4 linked regions of the Saccharomyces cerevisiae S288C genome follow. The main gene of each other region encodes a partner of the protein of the gene in region 4 in a complex. Each region holds a gene or a part of one and is shown on either strand. Other genes may lie near its edges. The genes, in order: RPC19, RPC10, RPA135 and RPC40. A codon is read from its position in the direction of its gene.

Region 1 (2,827 bases), on a different chromosome or scaffold from region 4:
GGGAAACCAGCTTCATCGAAAGTGGTGATTGGCTTTGGAATATCGTGTCCGGAAATAGTCATTTCATTTTCCTTTCTGAACTGAGCAATCTCACTGTCCGATCTGTCGCGAACACTTTCGTGTTCAACATAGAAATTCTTTTCGAAAGTTGGCAATTTGGGTAATTCTTCATCCCAGTTTGGTTTGATCAATTCCTGGGGTTGGTTGTAATTGGAACGACCACCGAAACCACCACGGTAGTTACCGCCTTGTGGTCTGTCATTGTAAGAGTTTCTATCAGAGTTTCTTCCACCGCGGAAGTCGCCACCTCTAGACTTGTAGTTAGTCTTGTTATATTGCTGATCTCTACCACCGTAAGTCATATTTGCTCTAAATTTGCCTTAATAGTGCTTAATTCTGTTACAGGTTGTTGACAAGAAAATAATTTGAATGAGATACAGAAAAGTATAAGTTATTTGAGCGTAGGACAGTCTTTTTATAAGACAAATAAACTGAAGGAAAAATTTTCTGCGATGAGCATCGGCGTAAAAAAAAAAAAAAAAAAAAAAAAAAGAAATAAAAAAAGAAATAAATTTTTCAATCATTCAATACGGAATACGCCTTTAAAAAGGAATTTCGAATTCTCAACATTATTAGCACCTTGTACGAAGGTGTATTTTTATCTGGTTATATTATACATAGATTTTAAATAGCACGACTATAAACGGGATACACAAATCAAGCTGTATCTATACTAGCGTGGTGTGCATAATTATTAGAAATTTCAGAGTGACAGAGGGTCTTTGAGTCGATCCGTAACATCTACATGCTCTTGATTTTTTCAGTAAACTTAGATTCTACAACGTCACATAAATCCATCAAGTCCTTTAGCCCTTTTTGAAGAGCATCCACCGCGGTCGTTTCACCGTAGGTTTGAATTCTGATATTTAATAGGTTTTCAGAAGGATGAGGTATCGAGTAACCACAAAATTCTACGTCTGGATTTTTCATTATAACGTAACGAAGGGCATTTCCAAGCGTGTGATCCTCCTCTACAATTTGAAAAGAGGCACTAGTTCCATCTTCAGATGTTGCCTGTGTGAGAAGCTTAATTTTTTCCCTGTCTGGTTCCTCTTCCTGTTCTTCATCGCCAGTCATATCAACATCCTGTTCTTCTTCTTCTTGGATGTGCTTTGGTTCTTGTGGTGTTACCTCTGTAGCGGTCTTTTTTTGTTCGATGTCTTCAGTCATTTGCCTGGTACTTTATGTGAAGTTCAATTTTTCCGACTTTGGATTGATGGCCTTTCCCCAATTCGTTACTTTATACCTCAGCATTAGTATGGTTTTCTTTTGAAATTTTTTTTTTTTCCAGCTCATCGCAGGTGAATATTTCTATCACTTGTTACGTTTACCATTACCCGGATTGAAGTAAATATGATTCACCCCAATAAAGCTGTACAGAAGAGATAAGATGTAGCTTTATTAGAACAAAGTTTATCACGTTGTTGGTACTTAGAATAATCTATGATATTGTTGCGTCTTTTTGAATAAGCTTTCTTGCGTGCCGTTTTTTTCGGTTTTTTTTTATATTTCTGCCCAAAAAACGTAGTTCAAAGAAAAGGAACTATCCCAAAATAGAAGCAAGTTATGTTTAAGGAATTAAAAAATGTACCTATAAAGCACGTTTTTCTGATATGTATATGCCTATGTAATGTAGAAGTTGTCGAATCAGCAATCGTATTGGTCAACCTTGATGGCATGTTCTCAGCACGTTTTGAAGTGGCTATGCATATATAGTGTTCTTTAATCTATTCCTTGCAAGGCTATTCGGACCCCTAATTTTAACCATCGTGCAGTTTAAAGGGATGAGAGAAAAACTAAAAGTTAGATGCCTTGCTATATTCTATAAGGAGGAAAGGAAAGGAAAGCCATTGAAGAAAGAACTGTAGGCATCAGAGCGAACAGATCATGAAGGCTAATGGTTTAGATAATGATCCGGCAAGGACGGGAATGGAAAGAACAGATATAGATAGTGAACACCCAGAAGCGCAACCGTTGCTGAACAACAACCACCGGACCCTTGGTGCAGGATCCGCGAATGGCCCAGCAGTTAATGAAGGTCGTGACATTGAATCCGATGGGTTCATCAAAGATAGTCTCTTTCAAATTCGCAAAGGTTATAGAATCTTTATTCATAACTCCAAATGGATATTAAATATCCTAATTCTAATTAACACCATCTGGCTAGTCACCACTTTGATTTCAGATTTCTTTTTCAATATCAATATTCTTTTCGGATTCAGTAACAGGTACGCAAGTTTTAACGACTTGACTTTAATATTCATCTCGATCATAGCTAATTCTTTCAATCTCTGGTTTAATAAGCTGGGACTGTACTCAGCTTTAGATTACAGCTTAAATGTAACTCTCTGTGTTTTGACGTTGTTCAATCTAGCATTGACCTATCTAATTAAATACACTAGGCAAAGAATCGGCTTTGTGGGCACGTTTACATATTTGTGGACTTCGTTTTCATTTTTTATTGGGGCAATATTAGATTGGTATCTCTTGTTTTACAACAACTCAATAAATGAGCCATTGGAGGAACGCAGAATTGATGATGCTAATATTAGTACTTTCAACGAAAACCATACAAATAGTACCGAAAACAGGGACAGAAGCCAATATGGCTCTGGGTCGCCAACCCCCACCCACCGCTCGCAGCTGGTCCAAAACAAACATACATTGACAGAATGGGTATCCATTGGGTTCAGGAATACTATTAAGTTTTTAATTTTAATATTCTTCGCTTTATTCACCCTGAATACACTTTTAACGACATTGGATA
Region 2 (2,765 bases), on a different chromosome or scaffold from region 4:
TGTGATACTTGCCCTTGCTTAACATGTTCTGTAAAGATTGTTCAAACAGGCATCAGTGAAGTAGTTTATAGCCAAAGTTATAGAATGGACGAGGAAAGTTTCAAGGTCTTGAAGAATGCGGGAATAACCGTCCGGCAATTCAGCTTTACGGAAGAACCAAGAATTGTGATGATTTAATTCATAAGTTCCTTTTCAGTTCGAACTAATGTAACATATATATAAAATACTACATTTAAAAAAAATACAGTACATTGTACAAACTAAAATCACTATAAATAGCGAATACTTTTCTTATATACTATTATTATTATACATTTGTATACACCTTTTTTCATTAATATAATCTCTAAGTGATATACGTTTTCCCTTAAAAAAACATAAAGAATTTGCTGGAAGAAAAGTGCTGCATAAACTTAAATCAAGCACAAGTTTATATATTGCAAAAACCTTGGAAAACCTAGGTTCTTTATTTCGTATTATTCTGCCCCGGTAACCCATTATGGTTTTCAGTCTCTCCATTCATCTAGCTTCAAATTGAACCAATCTCTTAGTCCTAGCCTTCAACAGGATTCTATGACCACAGTCCTTACAACGGACTGCATCAGTTCTGGATAAAGATAATTTACTAGAACATTCAGCACAAATATACTTCAAAGTTGCCGTTCTAGCTTGAGAAGTACCTGCAGCTGCGGCGTCTAAATTTGTTGGAATCTGGAACCCTTCGCGAGACATTGTTATACTTGTGGACTTTTATTCTTGGGTACGTTCTTATTAAATGTTGGTAGAATAAGTCGATGATGTGGAATACTCTTCACTTTTCTGATTCTAAAATCTATTTTAGATGTTAAAGAAATGAAAAAAAAAAAAAAAAAAATTAAAATTCAGAAAAATCATATTCTACGACCGCAGCGTTATATAACGTTACATCGGTGAGGCTAATTGTAGCCTTACCTGGTAATGTACAATGTCGTGGTCATGAGACAAATGTCAAATAGGAAGATGCAATGGAGAACAAATTTGACACACATGATTGAATCATTAAATCTACGGCAATATTTTGTTCTTATTTAGTGTCTCTTTCTCCATATCACTGCTCATATCAGGAAAAACTGTAGATTCTGACAATGTACTCGCCGGAACATTTTGATATATATAGGTGATGTAATTTCCATATGAAAAATACTAAAGACTTGTGATGAATTCATGAAATGAGTGGGGAAGAATCAGTATCCTTAGTAAGAGGTAACTAATAAAATTAAGTTATAGTATACACATTGTATATAATAGTTGAAACTACAAAATGAAAAGATCATGAGAAAAAAACAAAATAAAGAAATTAGGAAACTTAGTCGTTATAACAACACGAGGAAAAATGAATAAATAATACTGTCTTTTTACTATTTTTAACAAAAAATAATGGAAAAAATACGCCTGAGAAAACAAATAGAAAAGAATGCACCACCATTATGCCTAAGCGCTAAATGGTAACCGTAGCATAAATTGTGTTTGTACTAGTTATAGTGGTGGCGGCATCAACGGATTGAGACGGGTTAGTTAAGTAGACAGTACTATAGTAGTCATCATCATCATAAAAAACGTAACAAGTGCCATCCGAGCTGGAGACGGATATCGATTGCGTAGAAGACGATTCTAATGGCATGGATGTCGTTGCTCTAGACGTTGTATCTACGCTAGAAGAGGGTACCAGTGTAGAGGTAGTTCTTGCTATAGTGGACCCTGTTTGGGATGACTCAACTGCGGAAGTGGAAGACGATGACGCCAAAGTTAGTTGAGAGTTTCCGCTTTTTGAGCTCGATGGTGCCAAGGTAATAATAGTGGCGAAAGAAGAAGAAGAAGAAGAAGAAGAAGTTAAGGAAAGAGGGGCAGATGATGATGATGTTGAAAATGATGAGGATGATGTTTCAGAAGATGAAGATGAAGAAAGTTGGGAAGAGAAAGGTGCAGTAGATGAAACAAAAGCAGAACTAGAAGTCAAACGAAAACCTGAAGACGCAGATGGTTCGGCTGTAGCGGAAGATGTACCTGACGATTCGATACTTTGAGATGATTCGATATCGTATGTAGAGCTAGAGGATGTTGAAGAACCAGATGAAATCGTTGGACTGATAGTGGAAACAGTAGAAGTAGAAACCAATGAGTTTGTTTGAGTAGCACTAACTTGTTCTGAAGCTGACACCGTTGAAACCTCTGTTATCTTTTCAGTAGTGGAAGAAACGACGGAATTAGCTAAAGTAATCGGATATACCCTTGTAGTAGTATATGAAATCGTTTTAACCACAACCCTTGCCGGCGCAAGAGTCTTTGTGTAGACAGCATAACTGTAAACAATACCATCAGAAGTAATAAGTTTGACTGTTTCCCCATTGCTGTTGGCTTCAATTAAGGTGAATAAAAAGAATAAGATATTGAAAATTGTAGAAAAATTAAATTTCATTTCTTTGTAATTTGTTAAAGGAGTGGCTTTATTTCTACTCTGTGAAAGAGATCTGTGTTAAAAAATATTAAGGAATGACTGTGGTTAGCTCTACTGAAGAGTTACAATAAAATGTAGTAAGGAATGACTAGAGTTAGCTTAAAACCCGAAAATATAATTCAAAAAATAATAACGCTTGAGGGAGTGGCTTTAGTTGGAATTGAAACAGTATATTCTTTGTTTCAGGCTCGCTGTCTACTTAATGGAAGTCGATATTGCTGGTTTACTTGAAGTTTTTCAATAGACATCGAATAAGCAGAAGAGGAAGAAT
Region 3 (6,335 bases), 170 kb from region 4:
TCAATGTGCAGACCACAGTTATAGTAATTGGCAAAAAGAATCCGAAAAGACTAAGCTTCCCAAGCTTGGTTGCCCAACAGAGTACACTGAATACTATAAAACTGTTTCTTCCGGCGAAACAACCGATTCAGCGGTTGTTTCATCTATAGCAACGAACAGACTCAAAAGAAAACGTCAGAGGGACGGCCCAAGTTGTGACTCTTGTAGGATAAAGAAAATAAAATGCAATGCAACAATCATTATCTTTTTACAGGATAGGAACCTAATTTCATCAATTTCTTCAAATTTGCATTATACACTTTCCCAAGACGACATAAACCAGTTTCGAATGAAGTTTTTCAGGAAACTGCCTGACGTGATGGGCACATATGAAGTCATAAAACACCTTGATAAAATAGTCCTTTTCAAAGCCTGCACCTCTTGCAGTAGAAGAAACCAAAAAAATGGAAAGTGTCTTTTTTCGAGAGGATTTACAAAATCTGATATGAACGTATTTCCCAAGATAAATAGTAAACTTAAAGACAAAAGTATCTTCGAGATGACTGTCGATGATTATGTTGCCGCTGGCTTCCAAACCCTTTAGGTTTCATGCATGTAATTTCCTCCTATGTAAAATATAGGAATATTAATAAAACGCACCAATAATAAGTTAGATATTTTTCTGCAAGATATAAATTTGTTTACTCATACATATATATTCTATTGCGGGGCGCTCTTGTATAAGTAATTCAATAAAAAACCTCTATATGATACAATTGACCAAGCCTTCATTTACCATTCTATATCAATTTGGAAAGAAGGGTATTTCTCTATTTGGGCTCTACATTATAACGCAATCTTATACCCATTGCGGATAGCTCAGAGTCCAAGTACTTCAACACAAATGGTATGGCCACCGTAGTTGTTTCATTACCACCAACAAATTTGTTACCTTGTCCATCTTCCCAAATTTGAGAGTCGTCAATAAAAATTTTCTCTCCATCTTCTGATTTAGTCAATAGCTTCTTTGCATCTTCGAATCTCATGGAACAACGACGGCAACAAACGGTGGAAATCGAACCAATTCTTGGCACACTCTGTTGCGTGGTCAAAATAGAACCACACTCGCGACATACGGATGCCTGTGTGTAGTCTGATGAATTTAGCAGACGATCTTGTAATAGAAAAGATGTACCATGCCCAATCAAAGCATCTCTTTCCATTTCACCGACACGAATACCACCATGTCTCTTTCTACCTTTGACAGGCTGCATAGTCAAACTATTCACAGGACCAGTGGAACGAACTTGGAACTTGTCATTGACCATATGACGTAATCTTTGGTAGTAGACAACACCAACATAAATATCTGCCCTTAATTCTTCACCAGTAGCACCTGAGTACATTGGCTCATTACCATGGTAGTTGTAACCCGCCTTCGCTAGTTGCTCACCAAAGTAATCGGCTGGGGTATCGTCCTCGTTAAAGATCCAAGGTGTAGAGTCCTGTGCAATACCATGCAATGCCCCCGCTTTACCTGCTAAAGATTCGACGAACATACCAATGGTCATACGCGAAGGGAAAGCATGAGGGTTAATGATGATGTCTGGTTGGATACCTGTTTCGCTAAAAGGCATATCAATGGTTGGCCATTTTCTTGAACAAACACCTTTTTGACCGTGTCTAGAAGAAAATTTATCACCAATTTGAGGCGTTCTTCTAATACGATATTTTATGCTAACAGTTTGTAGTTCTTGGAACTTATTGGATTCATCACCGATTAAATTTACCTCTTCGATATATGCTGGTTCAGAGGAGTGATATGTCTTGATTTTGGTCTTATTTAAAGTATCGTCAAAGTATGCGCAGATTGGATCACCCTCTTCAACATAAGTGCCAATGTATGGCAAACCATCCTCGTCTAATTTCTCAAGCCACTCCTTTGGCCATTCGTCATTCCCGAAACCAAAATGCTGTGTAATTGGGTCACCACGGTTTCTGTTAAGTGCTAAATCCACTTTCTCAGTCTTATACATAGTACCATAACCGAAACCTCTTTCATCTGCTGATTTGTTTATAATCATTGCATCATCCATATCATAACCAGTATACGAGATGACCGCAACAACAGCATTAAACCCGTTTGGAAAGTTATCCATGCCATAATCATCATATAAATTAGCTTTTACGATAGGCGTTTGACCTGTTTGCAACCTATACAGCTTATTGTCGGAACGATGGCACAAAGCTACACCCGGAGTACCCATTGTTTGTTTACCCATCTGACATTGATACATGTTTCTTGGAGACTGGTTGAAATCAGAAAATGGAGTCAAATTAGCCAAAATAGAAAGAATATTTGTGGGCGTAAATTCTACGTGTGTATGAACGTTATTTTGAATTTCTTGAGGAGTGACAGCAATGTTCATGTACACTTGCTCAAAAGGTCCAACAATGTCTTCTTTATCCAAAGGCAGGTAACGAACAGGACGCAGCATCCTAGAATGACCACCAAATAGGTAGAGACCTGGATATTGACCACGAGTTGAGGGAGGAACATATCCAATTTCTAGATCAATCGGTAACCCAGGCGTCTTGCCTTCAACTTTCCAATATCTCAATGTATCCGCAATGATCTTACCTTGTTCATGAGAGACCCAGCCAATAATTTTACCATCAATTTGAACACAACACAGAGAAGGACCAGCAGCAAAGGTGTGAGATGCCGGAGCAACACCAAGTGAGTATAATATAGAAGGAATTCTTGAGACGTCAGATTGCTGAGTTGATATACGACACTTGTGCGCAAAATGGTTTAATAAACCACAAGGAGAACCATCTGGTGTATGAACAGGGCACAGGAATCCCCACGACTCAGGTAGCAACTTTCTGACTGTGGTAGTTTTCAATTGCGCAAAAAAGGAGCCTCTATGAACCATTCTAAAATGAGAGATAAAACGGTAGAAGTTAATTTTTTCTGCAACCACAGTATAACCAGAAACTTGTTGTAAATCTAACCCAGACTGGGACACCAGGTTACCAGTTGATAAAAAGTATTGCATTTTGGAACCAATGTTTTCATTAACCCTCATTAAAACTCTTGACATGTACCTTTTGTCTTTGAAATTAATGGCCATACCACGGTTAATATCCATCCTGACTTGAGCAATAATATTCTGTAAGTACTCATCAATCTTTTCTTTTAGGATCATACCATATAAGAAACCACCCAAAAGAACTTCTTGATGTTGCGTAGCATCTGGGTTATCTGGAGAACATTCGCCTGCAACCAAGGAATACAACTTTCTGATCATGAACAATAACATTCTGAATTTATCCTGGCTGCCATCCTTACCCAAATGCACGAGAACGATGCGATCAAGGACTTCTTGTCCGACTTCTAAATCAGATTGATCAGGGGAAGCTTGAAAGACAACACGAAATTTGTCTCCTAAATATTGCAAGACTTGTGTGCGATTTTGTAAATGAGGATATCTTTTCTTAAAACCACGTAACAGTAATTCTAAACGATCGGTCAAAAAGGAATCCTTAACGTCATTACCAATAATACCATCAAAAATTTCCCTATCGCTGGTATGACACAAGGCTTTTAAAATCATAACAACAGGAACTAAATATTCATTTTTTCTCCAAGAAAATCTAAATGTAACTTGACCGTCATTTAAGTAATGCAAAACATTAGTTTGGGAAGTTTGATCCGGCCTGACAGATCTAATTTGAATACCGTAATGAGAATAGGATGCACCCCTGTTAGCGAAGGAAGGTCTGATGATAGCCATAGGATGATTTCTACGTTGCACAATCAGCATTCTAATAAGCTTTTCTATACCGTTAACAATGAAATAACCACCTATTTCATCGGATTCTTCCTTGTGTTGTACCAGTTCATATGGTGACATCTTGTTCAAGTGACATCTGTTACTCTGTAGCATAACTGGTAGACCACCACAATCTCTTACTTCAAATAAGTTCTCCTCGCCATTGTTCACGGACCACTTCAACTTTAAAAGTAATTTACCTCTGTAAGAAGTAAGCCTTTGTCTTGACTCACTTGGGTAAACTTTTCTCTCTACTGCAGAAGAAACACCATCGTTAGACATTGGCTTCGCAATAGACACTTGTTCCACACTAACAGAAAGCTTATTCCCGAGGTATCCGCTGTTGGATATTTCGTCTTCAGAATTGAGTGGTTTTCCATCAAATATAACTTTTTCACCGATGTCTTTAACACCAAGATTTAACAAACCTCCATCCGGACCTTCTGTTAATGCGTTAAAAGACCCAATATGAGGTTGAACAGCTTCCTGTAATAGTGGAAATGCTGATTTATCCTTAGGTGGATTGATGAACCTAGATTCACGTTCTAAGGTACGGAAATCAGCAGTTCTGGCTTGGCCAGGCGGCTTAATCACTTTGCTCATCTCACCAAATGCGTAATTCTACGTTTATTTGTCAATATTCTTGAGGAAGACTTGCTTGAATATTACGAGACAGCTGAAGTAAGTTTGAATAATTAAGAGATGAGATGAGTCTCTAAGATGCGCTTGAAAAATTTTTCATACGAAAAAAAAAAAAAAAAAAAAAAAAAAACACTCGCAAGAGTAATCTCAATAATAATTTCCGTCATTAGCGATTATAGCATGAAGGGAGGCCGAGAGGCCGCTTCTGCGGTATGATAATTAAGTGGTAGTGCAGAGACTCAAAAGGGCGCTGAGAATCTATTAGAAATGCCATTAAGTGCTTTGAACTCTTGTAGCATGTCTGCTTCTGTAGATATAACACTCTGATGCAGATTTATGAATAATTTCATCACTCGATGTCATCAGCGTCTTCCTTCATTTGATGCTTTTTTGAAGTTTTCATGGCATGATTTAGCATTTGAAATATAATGAGAAAAGAGCCCTTTAACTTACAGAAGTAAATGTACAAAACTTAATCGGAGGAAGAAGCTTAAACATACAAAAACAACAGCAGGATGACTACAAAGAAGCCGTTAAACAAATCTTTTTGTCTCCGTTACTAATTCACTAATATAGTAATTTTGCTAACCTCTATCGTCATTGAAACTGATTTGTCCTCGAGAAGGCAACAATCAAACTGCAAAAGAAACGTAAAGCAACGACTTGAACAAGTAATCGCTAACCACATATTGAGATAAGCAGATAATCGCTGTTAAACGTCGTTGATACAGTCAGTCAATATGAATAGTGTAGTATTTTATCGTTAGGTTCACCTTCCAAATATTCGTTAGATAAAGATGTTTCGGTTTTTTATTTCAACAAAAGAGCCTTGTTGGCGCAATCGGTAGCGCGTATGACTCTTAATCATAAGGTTAGGGGTTCGAGCCCCCTACAGGGCTTTCTTTTTTATTGCATGGTCTATCATCAGGTTCCCTTAACCGCTGCCAAGAAAGAGCACGTGTAAAAATGGAATGATTATACATCAATTAAACATATAGTCATGGTGGTGTTGACATGTATATAATATACATTAGTTTTGTCATATTTGAAGAATAAATAATATTTCGATTTGTTCCCGACAATTATTGAAAATGTTTTAAGTGTAGATATTAATATAACAAATCATCAACATGGTTTTTAATCCTTATCTTTGGCAAGGACTTCATCTAAACTAGATAATTCTGGGTTACCTGTCAATCTCAAAGTCTCGTCAGTTCTTAATTTCTTATATGTGAAGTATGTCCCAGAGCATAAAGCTACACCAACAGCGAGAAATAACGGTGTTAATTCGACGGGTATTTTGTAGCCACCAGATGTTTTTTTCTAGTTTTTTGTTAGTATAATACTCTATAATCTTGTAGTTAGCATTCATAATCAACATAATTGTTTTCTTAGAAAGCATCAAGTCAGAATGAACGCATGATTATCCGTTTGTCACAATAAAAAGAAAATATCCCTTAACATACAGCTGTATTCAACAGTAACTGTGCTGGTCTCATTTTTCTATATTTTTCTTTTTTTAAAGTATTGTCAGAAGTCGTTCAGGAAACTACCAAAATTAAATAAGTCTCAAAACAAAGTTAGCTTATACTGGTATGGGAAGAGTTATAGTTGCTTTTGAGGAGATGGCGATGCCTTTAAAGTCTGTTCTCATGCTCATCATAAAGTACGGGAAATCCCCCGCTTTGTACGATATGATTGGCCCATACTGCAAGACCGATATAAAGAAAAATAGACAAGTTAATGCTATATACAGGATGTCGTTCTTCAGCGGAGGGATCGCGTCATTACTTGGTTTTCGCTGACCCAAGCCTGTCACCTCAAGCTCACCAATTTCTTACAGAATCACATACAACTTCGTAAACTAGCCAACTC
Region 4 (3,766 bases):
AATCCAACAAGCTTGGAATCAACGGCAGAGTCATCGACCATTGCAGATAATTTGTTCTGTCTTTTGAAGACATCTGCATATTTAGCCATATCTTCTTCATTTGTGAAGTCATCGAAATAACCTGCATCCGTTTCATCATCTAATTGAGGAATAAATGGTGGAGAACTTGTTCTTAGGGTTTCAAAATTGATCTCTGCGAAATAAGACATTTTGCGAACTTGCTCAAAAGATCGTACTCTGTTGATGGGGTCAGCTATTAGTCTTGTAATTAAATCCCAGGTTCTATCTGAGAATGCTGCTCTTCTATCCTCAGTACGGGGCCTTCTTAAAGTTTTTTTCCAATATCTTAAATTCTCGTAAGTTTCATTAGTAGAAGAACCACTAAAAGGTGTATATCCAACCAAACTTTCAAAAAGCATACAGCCTAATGACCAATAATCCACTGTAAAATCGTATTTTTTACCTTCCAGAACTTCTAGGGCCATATAATCAGGCGAACCGACCATAGAGTTAGCGTAATTAATTTCTGTCTTCCTCATGTTATGATATATTTTCCTTCTATCCTCGATAGACCTTTCTGTGAAAGCAGGAAATTCCAAATTCTTTACTTCTTCTAAGCGTATTTTCATGCTTTCGATTCTTTCATTTGATACGGTCCCTGCTGCTAGACCAAAATCGGTCAGCTTGATATGCCCTGTAGCATCAATCAAGAAATTCTCCGGCTTTAAATCCCGGTGAGTGTAACCAAGTTCATGCAACGCGTTCACGGCACAAAACATTTCGCTGATATAGAACCTTGCGTGACCGCTCTTCAATATCCTTGTATTTATTAACAATGTGCGAAAATCACCACCAGGTACAAATTCCATTGCTAAATATAGGCTCTCTGGATCCTGAAATGCATAAAGCAACTTCACAAGCCAGTCAGATCTAGTTGTGGTTAGTATGTCCCTCTCAGTAAGGACGTGATTCGTCTCGTTTAGTTTGAATAAAAGTTTCTTGTTTAATATTTTCAAAGCACAAATTTCATCACTGTCTTTTTTTTTTGCAAGATAAACTTGCCCATAACCACCCTGTCCAACTTGTGTCAGTATCTGAAAATCCTTGTGCTTAGGTTTCAACCTCCTTTTTCTCAGTACTTCGTGTTCTCTTTGCAAATACAAAGCCCATTCTTCATTTAAAACCTTATTAGAAACGTTTTTGACACTTCTTTGCTGTTCAAGATATCTTAGCACCTGCTTCGTACGTTGTCTTCTGCTAATAACATAATCAAACATGTCACAGTAATAGTCGAGAAAGTAAAGTTGGCATACATTAACAACTCTCTGGGTTTTACTTTGGGAAGCACGCTCGTGAAAATCCTTGGGTAGCTTCTTCGGTGAGTGATTCAATGAAATGCGATTTTTGAAGGTATCTTGATCATCTGAATCACACGGCTTATATGATCTTGGAAGTCCGGGAGTTAATCTTCCATTTTCGCTCTTTCTAGCAGGCCTATATTGCGCCTGTGGAGAAGTAGGTTTAGGAATATTCAAATCATAGAACCCTAAATGACTCATATTACCAGCCAAATCATCTACCTCTCGATCACTTCGTGAAAACATGACTACCGAATTATTGTTGAATACGATATTCTGGGTTGCTAATCACTATTGGAGTTACAAGTTTGTTGCGACAATACAGTTCATCATGATCTGTGATCTAGCCGACTACAGGTCCATTGATTTGTGTTTACTCTCAAAATCTTGTATGAGGTGTATGGGTTAATTATCCATTCAAAGACAAAAATTTATGATCTTGGTGTTTGTATATAAAAATTAGTCAGAAGACATGCTTATTCTTGATTTTATATTAATTAGAAAGAGATGTTGCATTATCCCATACTTGTCGTTTGTCTTCTGCTACAATACATTGTGCTTTATGTTGCAAATATTTATTAATTCCGTTTATAGTGACTTGGATTCACAAAAATTTTGTGAAAAAATTATTGCGATGAGTTGAAAGAAAAAATTTCACTCATATTATGTAGAAGAGCAGGTATCAAGTGCATGAAAGTAAGTAGGTGAAAGAAGATATGTCAAATATTGTGGGTATTGAATATAACCGTGTAACGAATACAACCTCCACGGATTTTCCTGGTTTCTCGAAGGATGCAGAAAACGAGTGGAATGTGGAAAAATTCAAAAAGGACTTCGAAGTCAATATTTCGTCATTAGACGCAAGAGAGGCAAATTTCGACTTGATAAACATTGACACATCGATTGCGAATGCCTTTCGTCGTATAATGATTTCCGAGGTTCCATCCGTGGCTGCTGAATACGTCTATTTTTTTAACAATACATCCGTTATCCAAGATGAGGTTTTGGCTCATAGAATAGGCTTGGTTCCATTAAAAGTTGACCCTGATATGCTCACATGGGTTGATAGTAATTTGCCGGACGATGAAAAGTTTACGGATGAAAATACTATCGTTTTGAGTTTGAACGTGAAGTGCACAAGAAATCCAGATGCTCCAAAGGGATCTACTGATCCAAAGGAACTATATAACAATGCCCATGTCTACGCCCGTGATTTGAAGTTTGAACCACAGGGCAGACAATCTACCACTTTTGCTGATTGTCCGGTTGTTCCAGCTGATCCTGATATTTTATTAGCTAAGCTAAGGCCTGGTCAAGAAATTTCGTTGAAGGCACATTGCATTTTAGGTATCGGTGGTGATCATGCTAAATTTTCACCAGTTTCCACCGCTTCTTATAGATTATTACCTCAAATCAATATCTTACAGCCAATCAAAGGTGAAAGTGCCAGAAGATTTCAAAAATGTTTTCCCCCAGGTGTTATTGGTATTGATGAAGGTTCAGATGAAGCGTATGTCAAAGATGCTAGGAAGGATACGGTTTCCAGGGAGGTTTTAAGATACGAAGAGTTTGCTGATAAAGTTAAATTAGGAAGAGTGAGGAACCACTTTATTTTCAACGTAGAAAGCGCTGGTGCCATGACACCAGAAGAAATTTTTTTCAAATCCGTCAGGATTTTAAAGAATAAGGCTGAGTATTTGAAAAACTGTCCAATTACCCAATGATCCTACTTTGCATACTAATAAAAAAAACACAGTTTGAGAAAAATATTAAATACTTAACCTCAGGGTCTTTATCTTTGTATAATCTTTTCTTCTAGTATTAGTAGAATTGGCAAATCCTACCAAAAAAATACAAACCCATGAATCGTCATAGATAAGGAAATGTAATAGAATGATATATGTAAATGTAACTCTCTATAAAATAGTGCCGATAACAGTAATATGCATTACCCCTTATGGACTACATATATATACTATTAGACAGAATTGCTAGCATTCTCATTGTTGTCATTAATATTGCCGTCATTTAAAATGGCATTCATGGTTTTATTTAATGGTATTCGTGCAACTATTACAGAGCCATCGTAGCCATCACTATTTACAGGTTCTAGTCTTTCTGGCTCTTCAAAATCTAAATCTGCCAATACAACACATGTTAGTGAAAATAAAGTAAACTGTACAATAAGTATGCTAAATTCGAACATTACTAATCCAAGATTGCCGGAAAAGTTGCTCTTTGGTAGCCGTTCTCCGATCATCTGTAGAAAAAGCCCACCTCTTCTCTCACCCAAAAGTAGACCATCTGAATTGGAAAAGGGTGAGGGAGTATTCTTAGGGCCATCGTCTACTGGCTCGCTACCACTCAGGGGTTCAAAAAAATCAATTGGGAATAGGATTGTTAAGATA

Evidence for each region.
Region 1: the proteins of RPC40 (region 4) and RPC19 are in contact, whole or in part, in a cryo-EM structure (PDB 7Z30), measured with the Saccharomyces cerevisiae proteins. Residues at the interface, in NP_015435.1 of Saccharomyces cerevisiae: Asp19 (codon at 2,129), Phe20 (codon at 2,132), Pro21 (codon at 2,135), Asn29 (codon at 2,159), Glu30 (codon at 2,162), Trp31 (codon at 2,165), Val33 (codon at 2,171), Phe36 (codon at 2,180), Lys37 (codon at 2,183), Phe40 (codon at 2,192), Val42 (codon at 2,198), Asn43 (codon at 2,201), Ile44 (codon at 2,204), Leu47 (codon at 2,213), Phe54 (codon at 2,234), Ile59 (codon at 2,249), Asp60 (codon at 2,252), Ser62 (codon at 2,258), Ile63 (codon at 2,261), Ala66 (codon at 2,270), Phe67 (codon at 2,273), Arg69 (codon at 2,279), Ile70 (codon at 2,282), Glu74 (codon at 2,294), Glu311 (codon at 3,005), Phe314 (codon at 3,014), Phe315 (codon at 3,017), Val318 (codon at 3,026), Arg319 (codon at 3,029), Leu321 (codon at 3,035); in NP_014286.1 of Saccharomyces cerevisiae: Asp43 (codon at 1,104), Arg44 (codon at 1,101), Lys46 (codon at 1,095), Ile47 (codon at 1,092), Lys48 (codon at 1,089), Leu49 (codon at 1,086), Thr51 (codon at 1,080), Phe63 (codon at 1,044), Ile65 (codon at 1,038), Glu68 (codon at 1,029), Asp69 (codon at 1,026), His70 (codon at 1,023), Thr71 (codon at 1,020), Leu72 (codon at 1,017), Asn74 (codon at 1,011), Ala75 (codon at 1,008), Leu76 (codon at 1,005), Arg77 (codon at 1,002), Tyr78 (codon at 999), Val79 (codon at 996), Met81 (codon at 990), Lys82 (codon at 987), Asn83 (codon at 984), Pro84 (codon at 981), Val114 (codon at 891), Leu117 (codon at 882), Gln118 (codon at 879), Lys119 (codon at 876), Leu121 (codon at 870), Lys122 (codon at 867).
Region 2: the proteins of RPC40 (region 4) and RPC10 are in contact, whole or in part, in a cryo-EM structure (PDB 5M3M), measured with the Saccharomyces cerevisiae proteins. Residues at the interface, in NP_015435.1 of Saccharomyces cerevisiae: Ala80 (codon at 2,312), Glu81 (codon at 2,315), Tyr82 (codon at 2,318), Val83 (codon at 2,321), Tyr84 (codon at 2,324), Phe85 (codon at 2,327), Phe86 (codon at 2,330), Asn87 (codon at 2,333), Asn88 (codon at 2,336), Thr89 (codon at 2,339), Asp94 (codon at 2,354), Glu95 (codon at 2,357), Ala98 (codon at 2,366), His99 (codon at 2,369), Gly102 (codon at 2,378), His216 (codon at 2,720), Lys218 (codon at 2,726); in NP_012013.1 of Saccharomyces cerevisiae: Arg60 (codon at 555), Thr61 (codon at 552), Lys62 (codon at 549), Arg63 (codon at 546), Leu64 (codon at 543), Val65 (codon at 540), Gln66 (codon at 537), Phe67 (codon at 534), Glu68 (codon at 531), Ala69 (codon at 528), Arg70 (codon at 525).
Region 3: the proteins of RPC40 (region 4) and RPA135 are in contact, whole or in part, in a crystal structure (PDB 4C3I), measured with the Saccharomyces cerevisiae proteins. Residues at the interface, in NP_015435.1 of Saccharomyces cerevisiae: Thr61 (codon at 2,255), Ser62 (codon at 2,258), Asn65 (codon at 2,267), Arg68 (codon at 2,276), Arg69 (codon at 2,279), Ile72 (codon at 2,288), Ser73 (codon at 2,291), Gln93 (codon at 2,351), Glu95 (codon at 2,357), Val96 (codon at 2,360), His99 (codon at 2,369), Leu103 (codon at 2,381), Ser150 (codon at 2,522), Gly214 (codon at 2,714), Asp215 (codon at 2,717), His216 (codon at 2,720), Ala217 (codon at 2,723), Thr224 (codon at 2,744), Ser226 (codon at 2,750), Tyr227 (codon at 2,753), Arg228 (codon at 2,756), Leu229 (codon at 2,759), Thr274 (codon at 2,894), Val275 (codon at 2,897), Ser276 (codon at 2,900), Arg277 (codon at 2,903), Glu278 (codon at 2,906), Arg281 (codon at 2,915), Arg293 (codon at 2,951), Arg295 (codon at 2,957); in NP_015335.1 of Saccharomyces cerevisiae: Asn27 (codon at 4,343), Arg743 (codon at 2,195), Gln745 (codon at 2,189), Lys791 (codon at 2,051), Ser792 (codon at 2,048), Glu795 (codon at 2,039), Arg796 (codon at 2,036), Gly797 (codon at 2,033), Tyr800 (codon at 2,024), Thr802 (codon at 2,018), Tyr804 (codon at 2,012), Tyr881 (codon at 1,781), Glu883 (codon at 1,775), Arg906 (codon at 1,706), Arg908 (codon at 1,700), Thr933 (codon at 1,625), Ile934 (codon at 1,622), Asp935 (codon at 1,619), Phe938 (codon at 1,610), Ser939 (codon at 1,607), Glu940 (codon at 1,604), Gly942 (codon at 1,598), Gln944 (codon at 1,592), Ala1001 (codon at 1,421), Gly1004 (codon at 1,412), Tyr1005 (codon at 1,409), Asn1006 (codon at 1,406), Tyr1007 (codon at 1,403), His1008 (codon at 1,400), Pro1012 (codon at 1,388).

What each region holds. Positions count from the first base shown.
Region 1 is NC_001146.8:411,174-414,000, reverse strand, and holds RPC19 (DNA-directed RNA polymerase core subunit RPC19), read right to left. Parts: upstream 1,231-2,827; coding exon 802-1,230; downstream 1-801. Other genes in the region: DEAD-box ATP-dependent RNA helicase DBP2, read right to left, coding at 1-362; YNL115C (uncharacterized protein), read left to right, coding at 1,948-2,827. UniProt on the Saccharomyces cerevisiae protein: DNA-dependent RNA polymerases catalyze the transcription of DNA into RNA using the four ribonucleoside triphosphates as substrates.
Region 2 is NC_001140.6:385,200-387,964, reverse strand, and holds RPC10 (DNA-directed RNA polymerase core subunit RPC10), read right to left. Parts: upstream 733-2,765; coding exon 520-732; downstream 1-519. Other genes in the region: DCD1 (deoxycytidine monophosphate deaminase), read left to right, coding at 1-177; DSE2 (Dse2p), read right to left, coding at 1,478-2,455. UniProt on the Saccharomyces cerevisiae protein: DNA-dependent RNA polymerases catalyze the transcription of DNA into RNA using the four ribonucleoside triphosphates as substrates.
Region 3 is NC_001148.4:576,776-583,110, forward strand, and holds RPA135 (DNA-directed RNA polymerase I core subunit RPA135), read right to left. Parts: upstream 4,422-6,335; coding exon 810-4,421; downstream 1-809. Other genes in the region: SUT2 (Sut2p), read left to right, coding at 1-583; MRA1 (Mra1p), read right to left, coding at 5,598-5,783, 5,927-5,959; MRX21 (Mrx21p), read right to left, coding at 6,287-6,335. UniProt on the Saccharomyces cerevisiae protein: DNA-dependent RNA polymerases catalyze the transcription of DNA into RNA using the four ribonucleoside triphosphates as substrates. Component of RNA polymerase I (Pol I) which synthesizes ribosomal RNA precursors.
Region 4 is NC_001148.4:745,144-748,909, reverse strand, and holds RPC40 (DNA-directed RNA polymerase core subunit RPC40), read left to right. Parts: upstream 1-2,074; coding exon 2,075-3,082; downstream 3,083-3,766. Other genes in the region: serine/threonine-protein kinase DBF20, read right to left, coding at 1-1,604; GLD1 (Gld1p), read right to left, coding at 3,337-3,766. UniProt on the Saccharomyces cerevisiae protein: DNA-dependent RNA polymerases catalyze the transcription of DNA into RNA using the four ribonucleoside triphosphates as substrates.